4 linked regions of the Arabidopsis thaliana genome follow. The protein of the gene in region 3 interacts with the protein of the main gene of each other region in a pairwise test. Each region holds a gene or a part of one and is shown on either strand. Other genes may lie near its edges.

Region 1 (9,114 bases), on a different chromosome or scaffold from region 3:
CTGGCTATATAGCGAAACAGTTCTTCCCTAGCATAACTACGACGTCACTTCAAAATTTTAAAAATATCTTAATCACCATAATGTCCATCGATTCATCGTTTAAATCATACTATCAATCATTGCGCAAAACAAACAAAAGTTTAAAATTAAAGGAATTTGGGAAGGAATACTTACCAATATAAGAAAATTATGGTTGATGGAGTGAATCTTTGGGAGTTTTTCTATTTGCTACTGGAAGGTATACTCTGGTGATTGATGTGTTTTGTGTTTACAAACCATCCTTGGTGTATCGGAGAAGGAGAAGAAGAAATCATGGTGGGCTGGGCGTTTGTTCATTGGGCATGTGTTCGAAAGAAGGTCTATTAAGGGTGTTGTGTACATGTGACACCTCAATAAAAATAAAGGGTTATTGAGAATTGTAATGGATGTAAGAAGACATAAATGTTTTCATAACAATTCTCAATATTATGAGTATGTAAAAAACTAATCTCAGACTTACAATTGCAATTACGATTTTAAAAAGATTTACAATTGTACATTTATGATTTTAAAAACAATCAATCGTTCTGCGATGTTTTGCGGGTTAAATATTATCAGTTTGTACTAATATAAAAAATTTGTCTAATTTCTTAAATCCTATATATCTAATTTAAATATAAATATATGATTTATTATTTATTTTTATTTATTTTTATATTTAAATTATTTTCAATTATTATAAAATATATAGTAAAAAAAGTTAAAATATTTAAATTTTCTAAAAGCTTTAATGTGGAGCCAGACACGTTAGCAAAGTCGGCTTTACAGTCTTGCAACACCTCCTCCTTTACTAGAGTTTGTTCTCTCTTATTTTTAATCAAGCTTTCACAAAAGAAAAAGAAGATAAATCATCTATCGATGAGATGACATGCTTGTTATAAAGAATTAATAATCCATGATTAAAAAAATAGCATAACTAAACACGTAAATTTTTTCAAATGTCAAGGGAAAAGATTTGATGCTACTATACCCAACAACGTTACATCATGTCGTCGGTGTAGCCTTAGTTCGAGTAATAAACATTATCAATCTAATATGTAAGTCGACCGTTCTTTGAACATCTTCAATGAACATCTATATTCTTTTCTCCATTTTAACGATGACTTTATTGTAGAGGCATTTTGCTCTAAGACCATCTCAATGGTTGTTTTTATTTTTCTTCTAAATATAGAAAAAAATAGAAATCTCAATTTTTTACTCCAATAGTTTCTTAAAAATAAAGATTTCTATTTGTTAGGGTATCTCTAACCTACTCTATCTTAGAGTAAAAATGCAAAAAAAATTTCCAACCCTACTCTATAATTGATTTTAAAATAGAGAATTCTGCAGATTTGGTCTATATAGAGCAACTCTATTCTCTACTTTATTTTTGAATTCAATTTTTTTTTTATACTTTAGTCCCTCAAATTTAAACTTTTTTATTTAATACATATAATCATTTTACACACAACAATTACAACACATAGTTTTATAAACTTAACAAGCAAACAAGTACTAAATTTAAAATAAACAACATAAGAAAACTAAAACATACAAGTAGTAATTTAATAGTCTGGTAAATTGCGTGTAGATCTGCCAAGATAGTTAAAATGTTTTAGTTGATCATATGTGAGAAAAATATTTTAATGGTATTATTTTAAAAAAATTTGTAATGTTTTATTCTTGTTATATGATGTAATATTTTTTTAATAAATAATTAGTGTTTAATTTAAAATAATATAATATTTTATGGAAATTTTGCAAATCTATAATATATGGATCAAATTGTAAATTATATAATTAAAAGGTATTAGTATATAAAATAAAAATAGAATATTTCTAAGAATATTCTTTTTAGAGTAAAATATAGAGATATACATTGGAAATGATTTTAAAAAAAAAAATAAGAGAAAAAATAGAGATGGGTTGGAGATGCAATAATGTATGCCTTTAAAACAGAGAAAAAAATTAGAAGAATACATTGGAGAAAAATCAACTCAGAGGAAAAGAATAGCGACATGCATCGGAGATAGTGATGTCAAAATCCCACAAAATATTTGTCAGACAGCGAGTTCGAACAATATTAAGAATCTTGTAGCTCCACAAATTAATATATATCTCATTTCAAAGTACTTCCCAAAACATGTAAAAACAATCAAAGATTCTTTCCATCATTCACTACACAGAAGGTAACCAAATTCTCACACCATAATGTACAGGGTAAACCTCCAAAAGAACATAATCTCTCAGTGGCCCTTGCTTCGTGGATCTTCAGAGTGCATAGCGTTGTAGTCTTTTGTGTAAACCCGGTGCCTCCTCTCTCTCGCATATATAACCCAAAACACCAAAGATGACATTACAGAAGCAGACACCACCACAAGACCCACATAGATCCATTGTGTGTATCTCTTAAGTCCCGGACAATGATCCCTCTCTATATCAGTGAATGTAGACCTCACGAAGTCACACCCTTGTAGGTCTGCCAAGAACGGTCCGTACTTGTACAAACCATAGCTTACATTAACCGCTGCAGCCATCTGGCTGTAAAGCTTTGGTGTCAACCGTCCCGGTGTACTACATGTTCCCGGTGTTACAATTTGGCAAGTGAAGTTCTTCCACACCTGCATAAAAACAAATCATAAGACAGACTGATATGACTTGGGAATTTATATATCATATTATGATGGAATCCTCGGATTACCTCGGTTGCATTGTTCAGATGGACCTGACCAGGCTGGCATTGGCGGTCAGAGAGATCAGCGTTGAAGGGGTTACAGAGTAGAGGCATTAGTGGACCTGACTGGTTGTAATAAAGAGGCCGGAATTGAGGCGGGAAATTCCTGTTGGTCATGTTGCTAATGGCATTGTCAAGAAGATTGACCAACTGGTATGTTACAAGCTTAGTCCGAGTCAATGTTTCTCTCGCGGTTGCATTATCAACACACGGTAGAATATCGTCTAGAGCCGTGTGAGCTGTTGGGTTTTGGACCCATTGGTCCATCGCAACACACGTATCCCCTACAACGCTGACAAAGCAGAAGCCATTTTTTTCTTTGAAGAAAGCTATCAATTATTGAGTAGACAAATAATGGTAGTGAGAGAAGAGAACTCACTTGTGTAGAAGTAAAAATCCACCACATAAGACGAAGGTAACCGTGACGAGAATCCAACCAAGGATCACCAACCTGTCCATTGATAATCACAACAAACTTTTCAGCATATAGTGGAACCAATGTAAAACAGAACATAAGAAAATGAGACTTCACTTACGTATATACAAGGCATTGCAGTCCAAAAATAGAGAGAACTGTATGAGAATAATGCAAGTTAAGTTCTGCAAGTTAAAGAATTTGCTAATGCATATAACATGAAGACTTACGAAATCCGATAAACGCAAGGAAAAGCATCACAGCAGCGATGATGACGAGAGCAAGTCTCCTACAACAATTAGAGACAAAAAATCATAAGCAAAAAGGTGAAAAACAGATGAAAGATAAAGATATGGTACAGAATATTTACATGATGTCCAAGACATTTTGTATCTTGTCTTGGTTCTCCATTGTTTTCACAGAAAGAGTTGTGGCGGACGAGTTTATCTTTCCCTGTATGTTGTCGATACTCGAGAGAACATCTTGTGGCAAAATGCTGGATTGCACATCAACCTTCTTAGCTGCATTAAGATAATCTGACACATTCCTGAGGTTTTCTGACGTGAGATTCGCTTGACTCACGACATAGTCCAAAGTATCGGTTGTGCTAGCATGAAATTTCCCTTGACCAGTGTAAAGAAAAACACATCCTATACTGGAATATCAAACACAAGATACATAAATATCCAGCAAGAAACAACGATGACGAATAGAATAGCTCGTGAGAATTACATTGCTGCGATTGTGAACGAGATGAGGAGGATAAGGGATAGAGCATAAGCAACCCGGGAATAACCATAAGATTGACGGGCACAGCAGCAATAACAAAGGCAAATCAGAGACAATGATAGCCCAAAGAACACAAACCAGACTAGTGCTATTATAATGAAAGGCGCCGCTGTATAACCAACAGACTGCACCACAAGCAAAGAATGATAGAGATTGATTAGTATGTCACCAATACCATACAAAAGACTCATCAAAAATATCAATTGGTATCAAACATCTTTCATCTATATAAGCATAATAAAACTGATTCAAGTAACAAGGCTAGTCATAGAGCTAATCCAAATTTCCATTGATTAATCCAGAGTGAATATTACAAAATGATAAAGATCAAAACTTTTAAAGTTCAAAATTCAGGAATATAAGAATCAAAGTCAAATAAACCAAACACCCTAACTACACTTAGTCATAGAATCAAAACTTTAATTAAAATTTAACTACAGTTAGCCATAGTTTTAATGGTAAAGATGAAAACTTTAATCAAAATATAGGAATATAAGAAGAACCCAAGTCAAGTAAACCAAGCACCAACTAGTTATGAATCCTAATCCACTGATTAATTCATCATGAGCATAACTACACCTTAAAAGTTAAAACAGTCAAACTCCATTTAGCCATACTTTTGATGGTAAAGATTATAACTTTAATCAATATTTAGGAATATAAGAAGAACCCAAGTCAAGTAAACCAAGCACCAACTAGTTGTGAATCCTATGCTATTGATTAATTCATCATGAGCATCATAACTACACCTTAAAAGTTAAAACAGTCAAAACTCCACTAGACTTTTGATGGTAAAGATTATAACTTTAATCAAAATTTAGGAATCTAAGAAGAACCCAAGTCAAATGAAGCAATACCCACCTGGTAAGGAGAGAGATTTCACACAACAACAAAAAAAAAACATTTTTGGACCACAGAAATAAAAGACTCACAGTCAAATAATGGGAATTGCTTATATTCCATCCACCAGTGTAGAGTTTGAAATTATCAGCAGGATCTTTTCTTCTTGTTCTCTTTGCAGCTAAAATCAGAGATGAGTTCTCTCCACTTTCCTCTGCAATTACTCTTTCTATTACACTTGTTCTCCATTCTTCTTCTACACCTCTTTCTTCTTCGTTACCAACCCCTGAATCAATCAAACACAAATTGAAAAATCTTATAACTATTAAAAAAATGGAGAAACAACTTTTGAAAAATCTAAGTCTTACCAGTAATCGATGTTGTTCCAGTGACGACCACAAGAAACGAAGAGAGTAAACACAGAGACACAAGTATAAACACTCTTTGAGATCTGAAACACAACATTATGTCTGGTTCTTTTTTTTTTTAACTCTCTGTTTTTTTTTTCTGTTGTTGTTGTTGTAATGTTTATTCTCGATCGTGTTTGAGAAACAATGGGGCTCTCTCTCACGTTAAGAACACGATTGATTTGAGAGGCATTGCTTGACGCGGTTCTGTTTGATTCGTCGAATCATCGGTTTTTCCATAATTGATTTAATTTCCAAATGCAAATTAAGTTAATTTATTTTTTCTTTCAACATTTCGAAAATAGGTTTAATGTGCGCATTTGTAAAGTTAACCAATTTCTTACAAAAAGATGTTCCGAGTAAATATATTTATTAATAAGAAAATCAGAAGTAGAATATTTTAGTTGTGATTATATTCTCTTGTATAATTAAATTACGAACATAACATAAATTTTTGTTAATAAAATAATTTATGATAGTTATGCGGCATAACTTGTGCCGACGCGTCACAAAACAAATCTTTGAGAATAAAGACTTGTTGTTGGAGGTGACAGAGATATTTTATCTTTTGGGTACAACTGTCCCTTAGTTTAATAATTAAAACTTAAAAATCTTGAAACTAAATCTTCCAAGTTCCAAGTAATTGTAATAGATTCTTTGGTACAAACTTTCGTATTTACTATTAAACTGTCTTCAACTACCGTTGTGAATTTGTGATGTAAGGTCGAAGATTATTTAGATTTGTTACTATGTGGCCAAAAAAAAACAGATTTGTTACTGAATTATTAATTTCAAAAATGTTTATGAGTTTTTATTTATCAAACAAAAAATATAATACAATAAAATAAAATAAAAATCTTCAGAATAGAGAACTGACTAAAAATATATAATAATTTAACCGGATTTTTAAGTTTATTTCTTAATGAAAATTGAAAACACATAAATAAAAACAAAAATACTAGTGCTGAGTTAGATAAATATGCACATCTGCATATTATACCCAATCAATTTTCATATTTGTTGGAGATAATCTGCTTTTCTAAAAATAAACATATAACTAATTATTAATTAATCTTCACAAAAAAAAATCATTAGAATCAAATCAATTATTTTCTCTCTCTTCTCTCACAACAATCTTTCAGAGAGAGAAAAGTGTTTTCCTTTATTTCCGACGATGTTTTGTCGGATTTTGTTTCCGGTGAAATCCGGTTTTGTCTATTCTCGCCCAAGTGCGAGTCTATCTTAGCCACTATGGCTAGTTTTTTGTTTTGTTTTTCTCTCCTTTTGCAGATCTTAGATTTCTTTTGGAGAAGAAGAATTAGAAGCTGAGTGCTTAATTCAGAATCTCAAGAATCATCAGTTTCTCAATTCTGGTCAAGGGGAGAATAAATCCTTCATACCCCTAATGGACCGTAATCGGCTAATGATGAAGGTTTCTCTTTAAGATTGTGAATTGTGATGAGTGGGACTTGATGGCCGGCGTAGAACAGTTCAGAAGAGCGTGTTTTGCGACTGATCTGACCTCTCGCCATGTCGTATGTTCCAGCAGTTCATAGATCTGATGACTCGGATTCCTGTTTCTTTTCACTCAGAGAATTTAGCAAAGGCAGAGAATTGGTGATTGGAGTTTTAACTGAATTCTGGTAAAATCCTTGGATGGCAAACGATGATTTGATTAGCAGAGTTCGGTGGATTTGATCGGAGTTTCAGCCCGGTGGAAACGCTAGGAATGAGTCGGTTGCGTCTTCTTCCACCTTCAGCAGATGTTACACACGTGTCACATACACATGTCCCTTTTACCCATACGTGTTCGTCTATTTTGATTGTAATAGCTATATTGGGTTAATTGGGCTTTCTGTACTTGGGATCCTTTTCACCATGTATCCCTTTTATGGGTTTAATGAAACTGACGAAAAAAAAAAAAAACTAATTATTAATTATTCGTGGCGTAAGATTCACACATAATGACTAGATATTTTTCTTTTCTTGTTTAATTTATTAAGTACTAGATTTTAACCCGCGGTACACCGCAGGAACAATTTATTTTATAAAGGTAGCATATATAAAAGTTTGCAAAGTGTATCTATCTATAAAATATTTTTATTTTATAGTTTACAATTGTTATTAAGTAACGTCCTGTCAAATCTGTCCCGTCAACCCGTCTCGTAAAAAAAACAAATATATTTTATTAATATTGATCTTATTTATGATATGTTTATGAATCATTGTCTAAATATTTTGTAATTTTGTAGTAATTAAATGCTATCAAATATCTTTGCGGTTTGACGATTATAATCGAATTGTTATAGTCATGCAGAAAAGCAATATCAAAAGAAAAAATTTTATAGTAATTAAATGATATTAAATATTTTGGAAGTTTTATTTTAGTAACTAATCGTGTAGTTAATTGGGAGAGATTTTGGGAAGATTGTTAAATGTCAAATATTTAATTCGAATATTTTTTCTCTAATTATCAAAAACAAACATTAAAATTTAGTGGCAGCAATTGTAAATAAATTCCAACTACACGATTTAGTTCACAAAATGGCTGCAAAAATGTATATGTAGATTTATACTAAATTTAGATTTGTTGCAAAATATACATGAAAAACGAAAAGAAATTAAAACAAAAAAATCAAAAACTATGAAAAAATGATAAAACAAAAAACACAAACGAGAACCACCAGCATATCCTATGTGAATCAGTCCTCAAACCTCATAGCAAAAGGACACTTCAGCTTCTCCAGAAACTAAATGTAAAAACGGAACCGACGACATGTGAGCACCAATGAACAACCAAAGAAACTGCCTCTGGCTACCAATCCAGAGCATGACACATCAAAAGCAACTCAGACAGGTTTGAGAACACCCACTAGCAGTGGCGGAGCCACAAATATTTTTTATGGAAGTCATATATTAATGTAAGTATATTATAATATGATTCTTTATTTAACTCAAAAAAATTTCATTGCTGATTTTTAAAAATATTCTTTGCTATTACATTTGCTTAATAAAAGAGGACTAAGAAACATATAACTATTGCTATAAATCCTACAATTATAGTTCTTTTGATAATAATATAACTAGATTCTGACCCGCACATACGTGCGGGGTTTCATATTTTAAGAATTAGATTCTGACCCGCTCTTTTGAAATTTTTTGGGGAAATGTTTTTTTTTGGCCGGAAAAAATCGAATAACCTTAAAAAATAAAAAAAATATAAAAGTCATGGGGTCAACTGAACCCTCTCCTATCTAACCCTCCTAGACGAAACCGCCGTCTCTAATGAACCTTGAAACTCTTTAACAAGGTTCTCGCGATGTAAACCAAGCCGCATCACAACAAAGAACCCAAGAACAACCAAAAATCCAATCCAGCCAATGCACAAAGCATCGAAGGACAACAAACGGAGGAAAGAACTTCTCATAATGAACTTCAAGTCCACTGCCATACCAGAGAAGAACCAAGTCGCCACATTCCAATTCGAACAGGAACACCAACGACCCATATTTGGAGTCTAGGCTAAAGGGAGTTTAGCTTAGAGTTAGGTTATCCTGATTAAATCTATTCTCACGAGATTTTATTTAAGGGAAGATTATCCTTAAGGTTTCACGTTAATAGAAAGGGTCGATAAATCAAGAGGGTTGTGCTTGTTTTCGCGTTTGTGAATTGGTTGTAATTTGCTTTCTTGTTTTAATGAAATCAAATCATGACTTGGTCCCGTGGAGTACAGAAAACCGAACTTCATTAACAAATTTCTTATCTTCTTTATTCCGGCAATTTATTTTACCACATACGTACGTATAAGTGGTATCAGAGCAGGTTCTCGATATAGATCAAGTTGAATTTAAGGCTAATTAAGACTGCGATATTTACAATGATATTGATTCAAGCCACTTCAAGTTGATTTA
Region 2 (7,079 bases), on a different chromosome or scaffold from region 3:
TCATCACTGCCAATCTCCCTCTCTCGATTAGAGAATTATAAAGAAACTTAAAAACTATCAATCATCCAAAAAGACCCATAAAAACGACGATTGAATAACAGAAGAAGAGAACCCTAGATGCTATTGAATACTGATAATGATGAAACCTCCGGCGATTGGTGTCTAATTTATAGGGAACGTAATTAGGGTTTTGCTTTGATCTTCGGTGAAGGCCCATTCTCGGCCCGTTAATGGTTTCCGAATTGTGCTGCTTTGTCTTCGCGGATGGTTCGGTTTATATTCGGTTCGCTTTAATTTGGTTATATTAGAATCATTTTGGTTTAATCTGGTTTATGCTTGAAAATGAAATCTGGTTTAAATAGTTTCTCTGTTTGGTTTTTCTGTTTTAATTAATTTACGGGCAATGGAAGCATTGAGAGCGTCCTACGGCGACTCTTCATCGGATTCCGATACCGATGATCTTTCTCCGGCGAGTCCCGTTACTGCAAATTCTGGAGAGAAAGATTCGATTTCCTTGCCTCCTCCACCGCTTGCGCTTCTCGATTCCATTGTATCCACAGGTGAAGATGCTCATCAATTGTCTCTGTGATTGTTCCTCAATCAAATTCTTAGAGATTTCACTCATCACTTATTTTTTATTTCGTCTGAACTTGAAGGTTCACTGGATTTCTTCTCAACAGAGCCTGGAGTTCGTGTAAGAAACTTTCCTCATGTCGATGGAAATTACGCTTTGCACGTTTACGTACCTGGTATTTGTTCATTTCGTAGCTTAAAATTTCTGAGAGTTTCGAGGTTTTTGAATTCTGAAGTGGTTGTTTAGTATAAGAGGATACGTATGTGTTTGAGAATGTATTGATGAAGTGCAGGCCTGATGAAGTGTATCACTTGTCTTTCTCTTTCACTCATTGTTTATTTTGTTTTTGGGATTCTAGTTTGTATACCTCCACTGCCAAAGAAGGAGATTGTATGTTTTTTAAAGAAGGTTGCATCAGTTGTTCCTCATCTTCATTTGGTAGAGGCTGATGTGCCACTCAGCATTCTATGCAAGGATGATCAGAAGTTTGAGCGTGCCTTGGGGAGAGAGTTCCACATAAGCTTAGGAAGAAACGTTCCACTACGTGTTCATCAGATTAACTCGGTGATTTCTATGCTTCGGCAAAAGCTTCAGTTGCAGAAGAGGTAAGATCATTTCTTGCCTACCATACTACCCAAATTACGATGGGGTTTGTGAATTGTTTTCCGTTCTGTTTTTGACAGATACTTGATAGATTTCAATAAGTGGGAAGTCTTTGTGAATGATGACCATACTCGCTCTTTCCTTTCTTTGGAAATCACTACTTCAGGACTATCCGAGGTATGTTGTACAACAAGAGTTAACCTTGAATGTTGGATTTTTGCATACTCAGTACCTTGTGTTAGATATTGTACTGATTATCATATCCTTAATTCAGATAAGTAAGCAAATTGATGCTGTTAATGAAGTTTACAAGCTCCACAATCTGCCGGAGTTCTACAAGGTCCACTTGCTTTTCTATATAGTACTTTACAGCTTGATTGTATTTTACTGTTTAGCCAATGAAAATCGTCATGGACACTTATCCCATCGAGTCTGCTTCAATTTTTCTTTTAGGATCCGCGGCCGCATATATCCTTGGTCTGGGCGTTGGGTGATATTAGAACTTCCCTAAAGGGAGCTGTTGACGTGGAACTTAGGAAGCTTAGAGCAGGTGGTTGTGTGCAGAATCGTATCTTCACCTCTAAGTTTTGTGGGATCGAGTGTAAGATAGGAAACAAAACACACAAAATATGTAAACTCCCAGATGAATAAGAAAATCTCAAATTTCTGTGTTTGCAGACCAATCAGGTATGCATTTGTAACGACATAGAAGGATGAGTTGATCTGTGTTCTTGGGTATTCCATAATATATGTCTCTTCATAGAAAAAAGTCTCCATATATCATAATATCACTCGTAATAACATTGGTGATTTCTGGACAATGCAACAACAAGTCCTTGTGATTTGAAATAAGGTAGATATTGAACTGGCTACTATTATGTTACAAAACGTTTACATGAAAGTGAAATCATGGAGCAAATTTTTTGTGACCTGGAGTCCAAGAAGTGAGCGAGCATACCAATAGGGTTCTCGAGCAACCTCATCAAACCCGGGGTGGTAGCAGCGAGGATGGATGTGATGAGAATGCAGTAAAGCTTGACATGATCAGGTGCAATGCTGGCCATGGTTGTGTTGTGCGAGAAATACATAGCAATCATACAGATCTGAAGCTGGAACCGCAATGGGAACCCGAGGGTGAGAATGTTGAGCATAGACAGTGAAACCGAAAACCCAATTGTGTTGAAGAACACAAACAAAGTGAAAGCAACTCCATTGAAGGTCCCCATGATAGATTGCCCTGCTGTATGAGCTTGTTGATTTGTAGTATTCACATTCGTTGTGTTCTGGGATACAGCAGGTATTGAGCTATCTTGCCAGGTTCCACCTGGTGGGGTCAAGCTGGCCTGAAACGTGGCTGTGGCGACTAGTGAAGCCACCACTAGTAATGCGCTACGTGCTTCTGATGGTGAGTCTCTGTGCTTTTTGAAAGTGAAGTACTTGACAAGTTCTTTATGGCTTTGGGACTTCATTGTTCTCTCTTGGCATGTGGAAGTAGAAGTGGTTCTCTCGACATTAGTAGTGCCAATGTCTCGCCCTCTCTGAGCTCCAGCTTCGATGAGTTTCTCATAGATTTCTCTATCGCCAGCTTCGCTCGGAAACATAACCAGCAAATCCATCGCTGATAGACCCATCTTGTTCATAGCATTCACCTCAAATGACCTTGATTCTTCTGGTATTGCCTGAACCAACACTTCAATCACCTGTAGGCAAAAGAAAAACAGAGTTTGATTCCACTGGAAGAAAACTATTTAACCGCAACTTAATTCGTCGTACCTGGCGATTTTTTCTCCAGGTTGCAAGATGAAGAGCAGTGTTACCCTGTTCATCTTTCTTATTCAACACATCAAATCGATTTGTCTCTGTGATCAACTCAACAATGGCTATGACTGCTTCGATCTCTAGGTGCAGAACAGCAAGATGCAAAGCAGTTTGACCTTGTACGGTCTCGTCTTCTAAACAATCAACACAGCTCGCTACAATCTCTCTGATCACATCGATTTTCCCTCTCATCGTTGCCACATGTAGAGGAGTCTTTCCATCTCTATCTTTTAAGCGGCAAAGCTTCTTTTCAACCCCCAAAGTTGCCCTCACAGTCTCTACTTGTCCGGCTGCCGCAGCTGCATGAAGAGGGCTAAACCCGTTTTTGTCCAAGTCAAAGACTGACCGCTGCCTGAGAATCTTTCCGGCGACGACATACTCTTCACTCCTTGGGTTGAAGGAGTTATAGAGAGGATCAGAGACGATCTCCTTCGGTAAATGAGTCTCAAAAGCATCCATTTTGGTGATGATGCAGAAGAAAGAGAGAGAGAAGATCGAGTTGAATATACAATGAAGGTGTGTACCATCACGACGCTTGTTTGAAATTTTCTATTACAAAACTCCCTTTGACATTTGACTTTGTAGCATATGAAGTATTCCTTAAAGTGGAACAAATGCTTACAAGTGTCAGTTGTTTGCATTACTTTATCTTTTGATTTTCTGACCCTGAGATCATCGTATGTGCAAATTCATATCCGCTCCGACCAATACAGATGAAATTTCAACAATTTGAGTAATACAATAGTTTTTGGGTATGAGAGTCAAATCTTAGACGAATTGACTTTTTTTCCATCGGTTGAGAGAACTTGCATTAGGAAACTAAACAAAACTGTGTTTTTCTTGAAGTGAGTTTTTAAGCAATAGATCAAGATTATAACAAGACAAAAAGGAATATATCTAGTGATCTGTTTCAAGTTTCAACACTGTGTTGGTGTTAACAAATCAAGACAGCTTGACTCGCTTGCCATAAATCTTCTTCATTCTGCTACTTCTCATTGAAATAAAGAAGAGACAGTGGAGTTGTTGTTATTACGTGAAAGAAAATAAAAAACAGGCTCCTAAATCCTATGAATCACTTCAATCTCTTAAGTTTTCTGTGTGGAGGAACCCTTTCTTTCTGGAAAGTTTCACATTAACTTCCTGAAACACAATCAAAATCATGATTCCGTAAAGGGTCCTTTTTGGTTTGCTCAATTTCAACGTCAGGTGCTAATATAGTATCAGACAGCTTCTGCTTATACTTCTAAAGACCGGGAATTGCTTCCAAGTTATACTTTTCTTCGGCTTTCGGAGTTTCGCCTTCTCGGCTCTCCTGCGTTTTCGGTTTCTTCAATGCATCTAGGGTCTGGAGATAAGAATAGGACGAACTATGAGGGTATTTGCTGCTAGGATTGCTTATTTGGCTAGCAAGAAACCGACGGATGAGTCCCCTCAGAAACGGAGCCATTGTATCAGGTTCATATTCGAGGTAGTACATTATTCCTCCCATGCATCCACAGAATAAAGCCACCTGTTTCCATTAATTGTATAAAACATCAGTTCCATTGCTCAAAGGGGAAGAAAGTTGGAAATAACAAAAGTGGTTTGTAATTGTATTGTACCTCAGCATTTTTAATGTCGGGAAGAAGGTGGCGATTAACAAGTATCTCCCACAGAGAATCTCCTGCTCGGGGAAGAACATATAGAGCAAGCTCAGAGCGTCTCGGTTTCTTCTCCAGCATAACTGAGAGGGCTGCTGCACCACCCGCAAACCAATAAACGAGCTTGTGGTCTTTGGTTGCAACTTTTCTATGGGCACATATGAAAGCCTAATGCAAATGGGATGAAGGCACATACATTTGGGAATGGTTTTAGGAAACTATGTGAATTGTATGAAATGAGGGGACACAAATCAAATGTAAAAACCAGCTACCTGAAAAATCCCAACAAAAGCAGACAAGAAGGACGTCGATCTAACTGAATCTCTGATTGCAAGCCAAGATGTCCGGTAAGGAGAAGCCATGAACTGAAATGAAAGTGTAGGATGGCATCAGAAACTACATATCATGTCTGACTAATGCATAAACCATAGGAATCTAAAAGACTGAAACGGCAAATATTGAGGGACAGTCTTACTTTTTGTAGGTGTAGAACAACATATGGGACAAAAGTCAGGGAGAAATATAATGGAAATGTTTTCTTGAATGTAGCTGACATTGCATTAGCATTTTGGGCCAGACACGAGTTAGTGTTTGGATGAATAGCTGCACAGGGAATGATGGAAGCAAACTCTTCCACCTTCACGTCGCTTGCTTCGTTTTTACTAGAAATATAGGCTGACAAGGAGGCTACATCAATTGGACCACCTCTGCAGCACTCTCTTACAGCTTGGTAGACAGGCCTTGCAACTGGACCAGTCTTCTGAATAAATTCTCTATATGATTTTGGCAAGGTTTCAGGACGCATTATAAAGGAATACATAACCTGCACCGACCTCATTGCAACAAAATTAGCTTGCTGACCATAATCACTACCAAATCACATTGGAGAGAATACGTATGGTACACAAAAATGTCTTTCAACGTCTATACTATCTCCATTACTAACTAGAACAGGAAGAAAAGAGAAGAATCTCAAATACCTGAGCACATGCAAGAGAAAAAAGTAACGAATCTCCATGTCTCCAATGGCTACCCCAAAGATGGAACTTGTTCTTTGACTTAGCGGAATTATAAGCCGCCTATTAATAAGAGAAAAAATCAGACTCCGAAAAAAACATCTGTGTGGTGATATTACTCTGTACGACAGACAATACTATGACCATTAGATGTACCTGGCCTAATCTAGCCAAGAGGTATAGAGCAAGTGTGCGACGCTGGTTGGAATCATCTAAAGCCAAGATAGACAAACCCGCAACTGAACCTGCTAAGACTCTGCTCCACCCTTAATCAAAGTCATAATAAGGAATATACTTTTCAAGCACTATGCACAAAGTAAAAAGTAGAAGCATTATAAGAAAAGAGATACAACAATCGAAATCTTAGGCAACACAAATAAATAAAATAAACTTACGAATTCAATGGCGTCTCTTTCTTTCTCCACTTCCTCAAACAGCATCTAAGGGCATGATACGAGCCAGTAAAGCCACCAAAAAGTAGACCAATACGACATGCTTCCTCCCTAACTATCAAATCTTTCTCTGAAACAAGTTGCTGCAACCATTGTTCACGTGTGAGTGAATCGCATATACAATGATAAGTCAATAACACATTGGCCATAGTTTCAAAACAACCGTATCAAATGGAACACTAAAGCAGAGACTCGTAAGACTCTAAATCTCCAGAAATTGCCACAAAAACAAATTCCAATTCATCAATTCCTCACCTTAAGATCGAGAAGAGACGAATAAGACTGTCCCCTAGCGAGCTTAAAAGCGCGAAGAAGAATCCCGATCCCAACTCTAACACCATAAGAGAGAAGAAAGCTCTGACATAAATTCCCAATGGCATTGGCGACGCAAGAAACGTCAGCGTGATCACACAATTCCGCGTGAGATCCACGCGCCGCAGAGCGTTGTCTACGCTGAAGCTCCGCCATGGCATCGCGTAGCCTCTCCTCCGCTTCTCGAAGCCGGCGCTCAGCCTCCGAGCTGTCTTGAGATAAAGGAGAAATCGGTGGAGGCGAAGAAGAAGGATCTAAATCCGGCTTGGAGAACGAAGAAGGCATCGTCAATTAAAAGGAATTGAAATCGGAAAGCTTCTCAAGCTCGTTTGCTTAAAGGAAATGAAATGATGCAATCAGAGAAAAATGTTGGGAGCAGTGAGGAAGAAGCCGATGGGGATATGCTATGACACGTCATTTCTTTATGATTTTTGATTTGTTTCTTATTTTCTTTTTTGGAAAATAATCCAAAAGATTTATTTTTTACCATAAAGCAGAAAGTGTGCGGGTGCGGTTGCGGTTGCGGGAGTTTGCGGAAACAGGCGGTTGCGGTTTCAAGCGTTATCAAGCGTTTTGAACGACTGGTTGAGCGTTTGATAATAGGTGCGTTTACGGGAGTTTTATGACTGGTAAACCAGCGGGTGCGATAGTAATTAAATAAAAA
Region 3 (6,089 bases):
AGAAATAATGTTAGTTTGTATTAGTGTTAAAAAAAAAAAAATGTTGGTTTGTATTTAAAACAGAAACAAAGAGAAAAATATTCATTGAATTTGATTTGAAGATTATAATTTTACTATTGACTAATGACTGAAATATTTAGTTTCTTTGAGATTTTAATATACATTGAATCATATATATGAAAGAAGACTAACTCTCTCCCACAACTTGACACATCAGCACATGAGAGCTTGCCACCTATACTTCATAAAATAAGTAATACATAATTAGTAATTAATTCAACATAACAACTAAAATATGAGAATATAATTAATGAGAACTTGAAACATCACTCTTTTTACATTTTTTTAATTCAATATATCCTCTTTAATTTTGAGATCCACTTAAGTGGCTAAAGTGATGATAAAATCCAAACATGTTACACATATTCCTAGCCTAAAAATTAGACGATTATTATGAAAGAAACTAAATGAATATGCAGATTAAATATATCTAAGCTTTTCGAGATCTATGCTAAGAAAACAAGTAATTTGAAAGATATTTGAGGAGCTATCCTTATAACTAATACGTAAGATATAAGATTATGACAAGAACTTAACTAAACTTTCCAAGAACATCAAGTTGAATATGCTTAGATTGAATATGCAGAGATATGATTAATAAAGACATGTTATATTTTTAGTGTAAGAAATAAATTTTCTAAAATTTCACCGTCTCACAATCTATACATATAACTGAAAAAGCAAGGATATATAAATTCAAAAAAAAAACTGAGAATCTAAAACAACAATAAAAACAATTCAATCACATTCGTTTTTCAGATGAACTAATATAGTTGGGCTTTTCAAAAACAATTACAAATCATATTTATGTTTCAAAACCTATGCATTCAATTTTACTTTATATGAACAAACATTATATAAAATAATTTGTAAATAATACGTAAACCCGCACGTAGTGCGGGTACTCATCTAGTCATTGATAAAGAGGTAACATATTTTTAAGAGATATAGAGTTATTATTTTGATCTAATTACTGATTAATCTTACATAAACTCAACTATCAATCTTGTCCCAAATAATATAAAAATCTTTAGCAAGCATGTAACGTACCATTCACTATCTAACAAAAATCCAAACATTGGCATATGCTACTAGAGGTCCATTAACAAGACAGTACTAATGAACGAACATTTTCACATGTCAAATGTTTCATCTTTTTCATCATCATCATCCTTCAATTTCAACAGCAGCCTCTGCTTCAGATACATAATCATACCTAATATCAAAAAAAAAGTTAATAAGCATTTCATTGATGTATCAAAAGATAAAATCATACTATCATAGACAATCATCATAAAAATCGAGTTTAAAATAGCTTCGACTCTTTGTTTGCATTACATATTAAGCAAAATTTCCTTTGCTGATTGTAAACGCCAAACCAAACCTTTCTGATTGCGTTTAACTTAGCAAAAGAAATGTTTTATATAGTAAGCTGATGAATTTGTTATCTATGTTAAAACACAAGCAAAACAAAAAAGTGGGTTTGATTCTCACTTTATTTTGCGAGTAAGTTGGTATATCCCTGTAGCTGCCATAGCAACATTAACACTAAACAGGTTCCAGTTTTTCTGTTAAAAAAAAACAAAAGTCCAAAGAATCAGATCGATAAACCAAAACCAAGAATCCAATCACAAAAGTAAAACTCGAAAAGCAAACAAAACTTACAGGAGTAATTATAGTGCTGCAACGACACCAAATCATTCCAGTGCATGTCACAGCTAATACAATAATTATGGATAATATGTTTATAACAATAATTGTAACAAGAAAGATTAGAGATTTCTGAAGAGTAGTAGTTATTTACCAATTTGCTGAAGGTACGAAATATTTTCTGGAGGTTTCTGGAAATCTGCAATGTTAGCAATGCTTATACCCCACTTAAATGTTGGAGCCCAGAAATGAACTGATTAATACCCAACAACAACAACAACAAAAAAAGAGAGAAACTGTTTACAATTAGAATATATTATTCATTAGAGGATTTAAAGTGATATAGATTTTTTTTTGTCAAGAACTGTACTATAAACAATTCAACATTTTCCAATAGTAACGTTTCAATAGAGTCTTAATTGAAACGGAAGAAGAAAGAGTAATATATTATTGATGAAACAATGTGATAACTCACTTGTCTTTGGTCCTGCCGGGTGATTCCAGAGAGCTTGAAGCTTAGACGTCGCCATCAACTTTTGTTTTCCTCGGAGATTCTCTTTTCTCTGTCTTGTTTCAGTCTCCTACATAAATATTAACGAAATGATGCTACTCAAAACGACGTCGTATAAGCAATATGTAATTGAGCCACTCAAATCTTTCCGATTATATTCATCGATCGTACTATCGTGTAGTGTTGTAGTGGCCAGATCTTTCCTCTTTTAAGTGTTTTTTTGTTTGTTCATCTTAATATATTTTTTTTTGTTCTTGGGAAGCATTGACGCTTTGATTGGGCTTTGATGAGACTAACCCATGGGCTTGAGAATTGAGATGAGGTGATTTGTTAGAGAGAAATCGCATTCAATTTCGTTTCGTCTTGGAACTTGCTTTACTTTCATTATGGCAGACACATGATGACTCTATTGGTCGATAATAACAAGGAAGAGCATAATTAATTATTCTTGGCTCTTGATTCATTTCAAAAGAATGCATAAACTCTCAAACCTTGGATAGAAGCTAAAATTTATTTTTTACTTCTTCTTCTCCATTCACATTATCTTATAAGAAAACTTTTGAAGTACTTTTTCAAATAAATTTTTATAATGTTTTTTTCATGGTTTTAAATTTTGATTCATGTTGACACACTGTTTAAAACTCATAGTATTAAATCAATCTATGCGTTACATAATCATTCTCCAAATTTGTCCTTAAACTAGCAAACAAAAAGCTTTAGCTTTAGACTAGAGTCCCACCAGTGACGTACTCGGTGAAGGCCAACGCAACGAGACCGAGCATCGCAAACCGACCGTTCCATAGCTCGGCGTCTGAAGTCATGAACCCTTTTGACTTTGCCTCTGCCCTTATTCCCTTGAACAACGGAACCATCGATGCCAACGTCAACAACGCTGTTGTTCCTAGAAACCACCCGACACCACCGTCAGAGATCTGAGCAAACACGTTTTCTCCCTTTGATAACTCCATGGCGATGGCCGCCACGAATCCAACCATTGCTAGTCTCCCGTTGATCCTCTCGGGTGCTGGACCGCTAAACGCTAGCAAATCTCCAAACTTCGTACTCACCTAGACAATAAGAAAATTATTCATTAGCTTCATTTTTTTAGCTAGTGATATATATTAATGACTTTGATCATTAGATCATACCTTAGGCTTGCTAACTGGTGGAGGAGGAGACTGTGGCATTTGTGGTGGAGTGGCCGAAGTCGAGGTCGAGGGCACAGAAGGATCTTCCTTGATAGGATCGCCCTAAAAAAATAGTCAATGTAAGGAACGGTCAGGATTAAAAGTCAAATAAGTAACGTAGGGAAGTGGAAGGACTATGAGGTTAGTGTATATATACCTGAGCCATGCATCTGACTCCTACCGGAGCAATCCTCTTGAAGAAGAGTTGGTTTGTGTTTCTGATGTTGCGTGTAGTCAATACACCGGAAGGAGCAGCGAACACTGACTGCATGTTAAACGACGCCGTTGCCATTTCTGATTAGGTTTTCTAAAAGCCGAAGATCGATGAAGAAGAGAGAAATGAATAAATTATAAGACTTGAGAAGTGAGATGGAGTTGGTTTGAGGTGTAACTGTAGGATTATCTCTTCATTTATAGAGTTGGTGAAGGAAAATGATAGGCCCAGTATTTTCTGGATTTTATTTATCTTTACTGATTTATGGGATACTATGATTACTTATTTTATTTTTGTTTTTGTGTGGTGTGTAGTAGAGTAATAAATAAGTAGAAAGAAATCTATCAAAGAAAAGAAAAAAACTGAATTCAAACTTTTTATTCCTTTTTTTTCTTTTTTCCACTTTAAACTTTTTTTTTCTTTTGGGGAAGAAAAAGTTTCCTCAGAATAAATGTTTTCAAACTTATGAGATTTTTTCCATATTTATTGTAACACCTAACAAATCAGTTGGTCATTCGTTTCATTATTTGTAAAACTACCATATTAAAATTATACAAATAAATCGAATTATTTTGCTCGAAATCGTTAAAAATGTGAAAAAAAAAGAAGAATATATCGATATTTGGGTTGAACGCTAAACACAAAAACACGTAGCCAATAAAATTTGAGAAATGAGAGGAAAGTGAGGTTGAGATCGGTGAGAGGCCACGTCTAGTTGGAAAAGTGCAAGTAAACTGATGGCGTGGCCTCCTCATTACACATAGATACACATCTTCCTTGTCTTTTTCTGATTGGTCATGGCCAAGTGGGTTTGGCAAAAACACGTACAAATTTTTTTTTTGTCTCAAAATGTTAATAACAAGTTAGTGGCTCACAATATTCACTTGGGACTTGGGAGATTCGTTTTTGGTATAGAGAGAAGTCGCATTCAATCTTGTTTCGCGCGTATTGGAACTTTCTTAACTTTCATCATGGCAGACCCATGATGACTCTTTTGATCCTTTATGTGTCCCATTCATGTCTTCGTGCCCAATTCTCCTACGTGCGCTGTTTTTTTTTCCAGATTAGAACGGTAAATAATAGCACAATTGTGAAGATATGGGCATAGTCTTCGTGTCGGTATAGTCTCCTTTTCTATTGTCTTTTGTGTGTGAGTTAATTTCTAAATTTGTAACAAGGAGAAGAGAAACCTCTATTAGTGCTTGTAATACTTTTTGCTTGATAGTGAAAAGTTGTGGGAGACAGTTCCCACCCGAGACGTACCGGTTAGAGGCCAGGAGGCAGGAACTCGGTGATCAAACTCTTGTGTCAATTTCTAGCTTAAGCAATCTAACGTTCCACACATATAGAAAACTCAACAACAATTATTTAGATATGAATGATCAGATTTGATGTACCACCATCGATATGTGCTCTCTGCGAAAACTCTTTATATATACTGAAAGAAAACATACACCCACATTGGTAGTTTTTTTTAATGGATTTTACTAGCAGAGGATAATAAATTTATCGCATATATTACTTACATTTGTAGTTTCAAATACGAAAAAACTTGACCATTAGTAGTGTGAAGTGTGTAATTGATACTTTTGAGTTCAGGACGAAAAAATGTTCACGTCATTCGTGAGGAAATAAGGCATTTAGACTCAAAAGTCCAAACATGTGAGAAGGTCCTCGAAAGGGCGAACAATAAAAAGCCCCGAAGCCCATAACACGAGTGCCTTCTTATCCCCATGAGTCTTCGAGTGGACAAAGAGAGAGAACAACTTTGGGAAATTTATAGTAGTTTGTGAAGACTTCATATAAAAATTGTATTTATGAGATTATTGTGTTTTAAGAGGAGAGACGACGAGGGTCATCATTCATTTAATTACTTTTAACATTATAATTAAGTTCTGATTTATCCGGTCGTTTATGTAATTTATTGATTATATACTTAGGTTATTTAGCCGGCCACAAGGCCAAGCAAGCAAAACATAAGCTTGCGGCCGCTAATCATATTATTATTTAGTTTTGGCCGAATTTGCATAAAAATGTAGTCTAATGGTTAAAGTTTCAGTATTTGAGTTACAAGTTCCTTAGTTCAAACTTTGACAATGTGTTAAACTAATTTTTTTTTAAACGACAGAATCACTAAATAAATAAATATTATGTGGCCCATTTTGTTTCTCTTATTGTAACCCCGTGAAACCCGGGGACGACTAGGTAACAAATACTCTTTGGGTTTTCTTATAAATCAAATGCATATCTTTGATAAACTAAACCATGAAAGAAGGAGTTTTTTTAACTGATGAATTGATGATTATTGAAGTTGATATAAGTTAGATTCAAGTTTTGATGTACTGTATTTGGAACAGAAATGTTATAATATCTTACTAAAGCCCAGTTCGGAACAAGGCCTTACCCTTATTTAAAGCCCCAGTAGATCTGTTTTGAATTGTCGCTATGAGTGAATGAGGATGGGTAG
Region 4 (8,003 bases), on a different chromosome or scaffold from region 3:
ATATGTATGGAGAGAGAGAGAGAAGTGGGTACTTGGTGGTTAATTATGAATGGTCTTATGGGCTTCACGGTCTGATCATTTAACATTTATATATGTATGAACATGAAAGTATTGCAGCTAATGTTTATTAATTAAATATTTAATCCCACGATAACGACGTTCTTAGTGAAAGACAAATAAAAATTCTAAGTTTTTGGTTGAAATTTTGGAATTTTTGGCTCTAATTTAACATTTTTCTAGTAAAATACATAATTATCTCATGTGGCCAAATTTAGATCTATTAATGCTGAAAGTTTCTCAACTAATTGAACTGACCATAATTTTGTATATCACAAAGCTTAATACATTTTTTTAATTATAATTTAGAGTAATTGATAGATATGTTTAAGAAAATAAAAATTGATAGATATGATTGACCCATAAGCTCGATTAAAAATCATTAAATGTCTGGAAAGTGAGAAGTGATATCCTACCTCTACGCGTGTCCCGAGCTTGGTGGAATTTTCACGTGAATGTAATGCAACTGACTATATATTATAGTACTACAATAATCATACTAAACTATCATATTTTAGTGACTTGTGGTAAAATTTGGTTAACCATTATTAAGCCCCAACTCTAGCGTTTACCAAACCATTAGCGAATTTTAAGTTCTATACACGTACGTAATTACATTTTTTTTTTTTGTAAGCTAAATCACATGGATTTTATGAAGTACTCATGTATAGTTAGTTGACAATGACGAAAAATGTAATAAATAAACGAGCTTAAACTTTTACTGTCAGAATTAGAAGATTTTAGCTCTTTCAAACACTCTTTTTCCACATGAGTGTCTTGCAAAAAAGCACGATCATGTGGTATTATCTTTTTCTAAGTAAACTCTATTTCATCAGATTGGTTTTCTCTTAAAGAAAATGGCCATTTCTATCTTGAATGGATGAATTACTTTTGCCATTAGGAAAAAAACTTTTACTGACTTACACACATGTGTCTAAAACAATTAACACAAAACGAGTTAGGTTCTGTATGTTGACTATTCGTGCTCGTTCCTAAATTCCTAATCCTAACACGTAAACCTTAGAAATAGTATTTAACAAATACTATCGCTGATACATCACATGATAAATCATTAATTTGATCTTGTCCCCACATATATTTATTTTTTTCATTTATGATGAAGATCCTCAAATCATACTCTCAATATAATATATATTTACAGAAAATGGCCAAAAGATACTATATGAATACAAACCTTTATATATAATTAGGTGAGTATCTGCACTATGCGCGAGCTTTTTTCGGTATTTTTTTGTTCCTCATGATTTGTTTTTAGTTGTTATATTGAAATGCTATTAAAAAATAGTACCTTGTTATTGTGTCTATATTTTATTTTTAAATTTACTATATATCCATTTATTTTGTTGTTGCTAGATTACCTTGATCCTAAGTTCTTTACGTCCACATTGTTTTGCATTTCCATTTAGATTCTTAAGGTAATTTTTAATAATTAAAAAAAAAAAGAAGAAGAAGACAAAATGCAAATGAGATTGGAGTATCCGCTCCGAAATCCATGACCATAGTATGTGATAGTCTGGGCATTCGAATTTTGGATCGGATCAGATTAGATTAGGTCTGATAGAATCCGATTAGAATCCAAACAATTTTATGATTCTAATTTTTTTAGACTTAAATCGGTTTTTATTGATATTTTAGAATCCCAAGTGTATTCGAAACCAAAATATGTATGGTTTTAATTCTTATTTGGATTTGAATTATCCGATGAAATCCAAAATATCCGAATTATCCGATCAGAATTATCAAAATTATTTGAAATTTACTATATCAAATATGAAATTCTGAATTACACGATCCGAATTGAGCATAAAATTAATAATATGTAATGTATTATTTCGGATTGGTGGATATCCAATCGGTCCGAAACCGAACCAATCAGCTACGAATACTGAAAATTAACACACTCTGAGAGAGTTTACTGAACCCAGTAATCTGTTTAGTGTTTATACCCAAAGGAACTTTGTATTTAAATAGAAAATCATTTAACAAAAAAAACATATTCATCTCAAGAACAATTGACGTAAGTGTGATAATCCTTGTCTGGTTTTGCATTTTGTAACTAGTTTGGTTTTGCATTTTGTGTGATAATGAATCAACTCGAGAAATTCATGTACAAGTGTAACCACAAAACAAGTATTGTTTATGTTTTTATCACACTATCAAAACCATCTAATCAACAACTTCACTGCTAAACAACTTGAACTTATTAGCATCAAGAACAAGTTTCCTAATGGAGGAGAAAGCTCCCATGAGTCCTGCACAAGTGAACACAACCATTATCGTCATGTTTATCCAATACGTGAAGCTCCGTCTGGTTGGCTTATAGGTCATGTTGTATAGAAGCATTGGCAGCACGAAATCGAGTGGGATAAACCCAAACGCTCCTACCACCGCGTTTATATCCCCAAAGAACGGTAGCATCGCTGCCATGAACCCGCAAAACGCCATATATAGTGTTCTTAGTATCAAACGCGGCACAAGGTTGCGTTTTGAGAATATCCCTTTTGTTGTATCCGCTGATTTCTTCTCCATTATTTCATACGCAACTTGAGAATACACCTAACCAGTTACCAAAAAAAAGAAACATTTAGTCACTCGTCTCACAGCCAAGTAACATCGAATAACGATCACACTAGTTATAAACTTACAAGGCCAATGGCGAAAAGCTGAAGAAGGACAAAGATGACAGCTAAGCCAATCACCACGATAGGAGCCAGAGTCGGTCCTTCATCAGGCATTAAGTTCTTGAGGATATTAGAGCTCGAATTGTTACCAAAAACCCAATATCCCGAAATTGCAGCAGAGTAAAACGTGAAGAAGATCACACTATAACACAACAATAGTCCTTTCAACATCTTCCCTGTGGCTGGTGGAGCAAGAGTTGCCTGCATACATATAATCATCTCATAAATCTCAAACACATAACATACAATGTTTGTATTGAATAAATTGCAAACATTTCTCACCTGTATTTCGGGTAAGATTCCATTTCCGAAAATAGCAGCTATGATCGAAATTGATGTGAAGGCACTAAAAACTTTCCCTGAATCCGAATGCTCTAGAGAATACTCACGTTTAGGAGCGTTTTTCGACAAACCTGTAGAACCAAAACTGGGCAATGAATCTAAATTTTCGAACATTAGTAAGTTGTTGTTTCTTCGCTAACGTAAGAATCATTATACCTAGGTTGATACAAGCCCCAACGACGAGGAAAGTATATCCTAAGCTGAGAAGCAGAGACGCACAGTTAATGTGTCTAAGAGAGTGAAAACTTGGAAGCTGTGAGAGAACCATCATCACAACAGTCACCATAGCAATGAACTCGTAAAGCTTCAACGTTCCTTGCGGGAAAAGACTCGAATACATTATCTGTGTAGTAACACAAAAACAGAGGATGATCCGTACGGTTCTTATAGTACCTTGTTTAACAAGTAATCAAAATTTAGGTTTCTTTCTTACATCAAGACATTGACCTGCAAGTAGAATGGCGCCAATACCAATTCCAGTGTTGATAGCTGTTTGAATAAAGATCACTACATAAAACATCAATCCAGATCCTGCACCACATCACAATAACCGGCTCAAAATTCGAAATCGGCCCTTAAACCCAAAACTCAATAACCGGAAAGACCAGACTTTATGACGTAAACCGATCTATAAACCGAAATACACAGGCCTAACCTAGACCGGTACGGTAAACTAAGACACGTGTGATGATGGCGAATCTAACAAGAAGTCAAAGTATCCAAATCGAAACACGATCCAACCTTTACGGATTTATCCAAAAAAAGCAAATTAATAAATACAAAGAAGAGATTTTGAATGATACCAAGAACATCGGCGGCGAGTTCCCGGAAACGGATGTGACGGCGGCCGGATTTTTCACAGTGATCAAGAACCTTAGACATGAGGTAATAAGCGTAGAAAGTAACGAGTCCCATCGTCGTTAAACAAACAAACCCTAACCACCATCCTAATCCTCTAAACGCATATGGTAATGTCAATATCGTCGGACCAACAATCGCCGTCGTTAGATGAAATCCGGCGTGCCACCACTCGCCTGAGAATTAATTCTCAAATCAGTTAAAATTCCAAAATTGGAGATTGATATCATAAATATATGGGTTTAACCTTTTGATTGGAGGACGAAGAGAGCACCGGCGTCGGAATCGAGTCGGGTAACAGGAAACGGGTCGGGTCTGGGAGGATCCGTCATCGATGAATTTTAGTGTGAAAGAGAAGAAGATTCTACAAGTGAATGATTTATATATGGAATGATGATGATGGAGAGCACGGTGGAGAGGTGGGCGCATGATAGCTGGTGATAGTTAATGTTTGCTATAATGTTAAATTCCGTTGCTTCTTTAAAGAAACAACCTGTCATAGTGAGAAAAGGAGACATATTTTGCATTTTCCTCTTTATTCGGGATGTGATAAAATTTTGCTTTTTTCAGATTCCTATCATTAAATTAAAAAATTAGTTTTATGATTCCTATTTTCATACATTTCCACTTGTACTTTACTTGTGCTTCTTTGCATGTTTCAGATTTTTTTTTGTAAAAATAAAAATATTAAATTGACAAAACAAGGTTTTGAAATTACTTTTTGATATTTTATTTAGAAATTTTCAGTAATGTATTGTTTGTAAATAAGGAAACAAATTTTAAGAGTTTTTTTTTTGTTGGAATAATCCAATATGATTTATATGAATATCTATCACATAATTTTAGATTTAATGTATCTTGGTGAATTAATCAGATAATAAAGTAATTGGGAATTATAACGTGTTAGACTCTTTTCAAATTTTAAGGTCAAAGTATAATCACTGTCTGATTTTAGAGGAGAAAGTAGTGTGTTTCCATAAACTCATAAAAGTGAATAGAGTTTCTATTTAAAATTTAATAATTTAAGATATTGCCAAATTGTACTTAATTTTCAATTAACTTCGATTTAGGAAATATCAACTAGTTATGGAATTTTTTCTCAAATATTTGATTGATCTAACATCACCAAACCTTACTGGCTGACTTATTTTGTGTATCATTCACATGGCTGACTTTTTCGGTTGTGAAAAACACTTGAAAAAAAAGTGGTTGCTATTAAAGAATAAACATTTCAAACATTTCAAACTAGTTCACATTAGAAATTCAAGGCGAGATATAACGACTGCTAATGCAAAAAAAAAAAACCCAATAAAATAAGAAATGAATGAGAGAACGAAACTCTGTAAAGCGATGTGTATAATTTTGTTATGAAAGAGCAAAGATGATACTATAACAAATTCCAAACAAGCAAAAGCACTATACCAACAGTAGCATTTAATCGTTCTATACAATCCGACGCCCAAAGAAAAAAAAATATCAACTCCATTTGTGTGAGCCCCTTTATTCCCTGACCTCCCATAAAAACCACCACCAACTTTGCCCACAATAAACCAAAAATTTTGACTTACAAAATACAACAAAAGTTAACAAACATATAAAAGTGCAACAAAATCGAACACAAGTACACCAAAAGTCCCCAACCAAAAATACCTCTCCACCAGCTTCTTGATTGACCAGAGTCCAAAACCTAATAAACACATATATGTTGTTTCATTGTTTGCATTCATGTGAGGTGGAAACTAGGCTTGGGAAAGATAAACAACGTACCATGGCACTGAGTCCTTAAGTTCGCTGCGACACTCTTCTTTGGCCTCGAGCCACAACGGTCTTAGACAAAACCTCCTCAAGATATTCACAACGACTTCTATGGTGATCGATCCAAACACATAATTGCCTTATCGCTTCTCTTTTCTCTTCTCCAAGTCCCATCAAAGTCTCTTTCATCATCTCCTTCTCTTTTTCATCTTCTCTTACTTTTCCTCCAAGCTTTTTTATTTCTTCATCTTTCTTCTCTATCTCTTTATTCATCTTCTCCTTCTCGTGATTTCTCTCTATCACCCAATTCGTCGCAGTCCACAGTATTTTTGATGCCTCCATTACAGTTTTCTCGTATCTCCCCTGTTTCTCCGTGAGTTTTTCTGACATGGATTGAAACCCATCTACTGTTATGTTCACTTTATCTGCTATCTCTTTGATCATACCTCGATAAGTCTCATGTGTCATGGTGAGATTCTTCTCAAGCAATGCTTGCTCCTCTAAGTGCTTAGCCTCTTCTTTCCTGAAAGCTTCTTCTTTCTCTGTTAGTACCTGTTCGGTTACTCTCAGTTTCTGGTTCGACAAGCGTAGCTTAACCTCGATGTTACTGATCTTCTCCATGAGAGTTTCGATCTCGTCTCCTTTCATTTCCAGCTCGTTACGTAAACTCTCCATCGTCTCTTCATGAACCCCAATTGTAGAATCTCTGGATGTCACTTCCTTACCCCTCTCCTCCAACAATCTTTGAGCTTCTTTGTAATCCACAGTTACCTTATTTAGTGTTGCTTCAGTTTCTTTAAATAGTTCGTTTATCTGCTTGTGTTCCTCTTCCAGCGTATTGTAAGCAGCTTCTTGCTCTACCAATGCTTTCTGGACATCGGTGATCTGATTCGACAATTCTGATTTCTCTTGCTTCTCTCTCTCAAGCTCTGCTTCGGTTTCGCTCTTCTGCACCTGTAGAGAATCAAGCTCATTCTTCAGATTGTTGATCAGTTCTGTTAAGGCCATTATTTCAGAAGACGCTACGTTGATCTTATCGTGCATTTGAACATTCTCTTCTTTCTTAGTTCTCAGCTCCTCATCAAGCTCACTTCTCTGTTTCCCTAGAGTCTCTAACTCAAGTTCACGACCCTTAATCTTCTCAGATAAACCATTTATTTCTTCTAGAATACTCTCGTGAACTTTAACCTTGTTTATGATCTCCTCTTTTAGATTTGTAATCTGACTCAGATATTCAGATATCTCCTCGGACTTCTTTTCAAGTTGGATCTCGAGTTCTGCTCTCTGGCTATCAAGTGAGGCCACTTGCTGTCTCAGACCATTGACCTCATCATCCAAACGTTTAATCTTCACTGAGGCTTCCTCGCTTTTGCACACCATTTGTTTCTCCACCTCTTCTTTTTGAACAGACATTGAATCTAATTCTGCTCGTAGGCCATCGATCTCAGCTGTCAAAGTCTCAATTGAAGACGATGATTGCTTATCGTTATCCTCAAGTTTTTGAGTTAAAGCTGAGAGTTCAGTTCCTCTCTCCTCCATTGTCTTCTCAAGTTCTGAGATTCTAGCAACCATTTCTCTGTTTTGCGCTTCCAACTGCTCAACTACGGTGGTCTTGCTTGCAATCTCTGTCTCAAGATCTATTATACGGGCACGAACTGACTCTAGTTCCAGCTCCAGTGTCGCTACTGTTGCTTCTAGTTCTTTTATTTGCACCTGTGATTTGCTGTCCTTCTCTGTCAGAAGGAATAGTTTGCTTTCTTTCTCAGCGAGCTGCTCTTTCAGTTTGCTCGAATCAGCTGTGAGTTCCTGTACCATGATCTGTGTCCGTTCAAGCTCATCTGAAGTTTCTGAGATTTTCGTGGACATAGTTCTGCTTTCTTCTTCTGCAGCCTTCAGACTTTCGCTCAATTCCAAAACCCTGTGTTCAGATGATTCCAGTTGCGCTTCTAAACCTCTTAACTGAGTGGATAATTCTCTCTGATGAGTCTCATGGATATCCCTCAAGCTAAAAAGTTCATTGTCTTTCTCAGCGTGGCTCCCTTTTAATCGTTCAGACTCAGAGCTGAGTTCTTGTATGGTGCTTTCCGCCCGCTTGATCTTGATCGACATTTCTGAAATTTGCTGAGATAAAATTTTCTTCTCTTCCTCTGAACTGTTCAGGTTCTGGTTCAATTCTTTAACCTGTTCCTCTGCTGATTCCACCCGTGCTTCTAATTCTTTCACCTGACTTGAGGAATCTCTCTTATGGGCCTCGTGTACCTCCACAAAACTAGAAAGCTCATTCTCTTT

What was found.
Region 1: the proteins of ELIP2 (region 3) and AT2G12400 interact in a protein complementation assay, tested with the Arabidopsis thaliana proteins (one large-scale study listed by BioGRID).
Region 2: the proteins of ELIP2 (region 3) and AT5G51160 interact in a protein complementation assay, tested with the Arabidopsis thaliana proteins (one large-scale study listed by BioGRID).
Region 4: the proteins of ELIP2 (region 3) and AT5G41800 interact in a protein complementation assay, tested with the Arabidopsis thaliana proteins (one large-scale study listed by BioGRID).

Annotation. Positions count from the first base shown.
Region 1 is NC_003071.7:5,002,880-5,011,993, forward strand, and holds AT2G12400 (plasma membrane fusion protein), read right to left. Parts: upstream 5,564-9,114; 5' UTR 5,262-5,563; coding exon 5,165-5,261; intron 5,083-5,164; coding exon 4,889-5,082; intron 4,082-4,888; coding exon 3,900-4,081; intron 3,823-3,899; coding exon 3,538-3,822; intron 3,457-3,537; coding exon 3,398-3,456; intron 3,326-3,397; coding exon 3,289-3,325; intron 3,204-3,288; coding exon 3,132-3,203; intron 3,045-3,131; coding exon 2,720-3,044; intron 2,640-2,719; coding exon 2,265-2,639; 3' UTR 2,005-2,264; downstream 1-2,004. Other genes in the region: AT2G12405 (uncharacterized protein), read right to left, coding at 7,913-8,014, 8,463-8,711.
Region 2 is NC_003076.8:20,788,655-20,795,733, reverse strand, and holds AT5G51160 (Ankyrin repeat family protein), read right to left. Parts: upstream 3,662-7,079; 5' UTR 3,455-3,661; coding exon 2,951-3,454; intron 2,878-2,950; coding exon 2,053-2,877; 3' UTR 1,893-2,052; downstream 1-1,892. Other genes in the region: AT5G51170 (U6 snRNA phosphodiesterase-like protein), read left to right, coding at 404-560, 657-749, 933-1,179, 1,258-1,354, 1,452-1,517, 1,631-1,828; AT5G51150 (Mitochondrial import inner membrane translocase subunit Tim17/Tim22/Tim23 family protein), read right to left, coding at 4,239-4,505, 4,597-4,803, 4,908-5,000, 5,111-5,458, 5,616-5,714, 5,808-5,907, 6,047-6,186, 6,359-6,700.
Region 3 is NC_003075.7:8,415,984-8,422,072, reverse strand, and holds ELIP2 (Chlorophyll A-B binding family protein), read right to left. Parts: upstream 3,832-6,089; 5' UTR 3,701-3,831; coding exon 3,566-3,700; intron 3,472-3,565; coding exon 3,370-3,471; intron 3,289-3,369; coding exon 2,944-3,288; 3' UTR 2,748-2,943; downstream 1-2,747. Other genes in the region: AT4G14695 (Uncharacterized protein family (UPF0041)), read right to left, coding at 1,228-1,276, 1,555-1,628, 1,726-1,778, 1,865-1,963, 2,186-2,240. UniProt on the Arabidopsis thaliana protein: Probably involved in the integration of pigments into the mature light-harvesting pigment-protein complexes.
Region 4 is NC_003076.8:16,730,130-16,738,132, reverse strand, and holds AT5G41800 (Transmembrane amino acid transporter family protein), read right to left. Parts: upstream 4,471-8,003; 5' UTR 4,292-4,470; coding exon 4,207-4,291; intron 4,136-4,206; coding exon 3,905-4,135; intron 3,633-3,904; coding exon 3,535-3,632; intron 3,445-3,534; coding exon 3,258-3,444; intron 3,173-3,257; coding exon 3,042-3,172; intron 2,961-3,041; coding exon 2,724-2,960; intron 2,635-2,723; coding exon 2,245-2,634; 3' UTR 2,040-2,244; downstream 1-2,039. Other genes in the region: CIP1 (COP1-interactive protein 1), read right to left, coding at 5,742-8,003.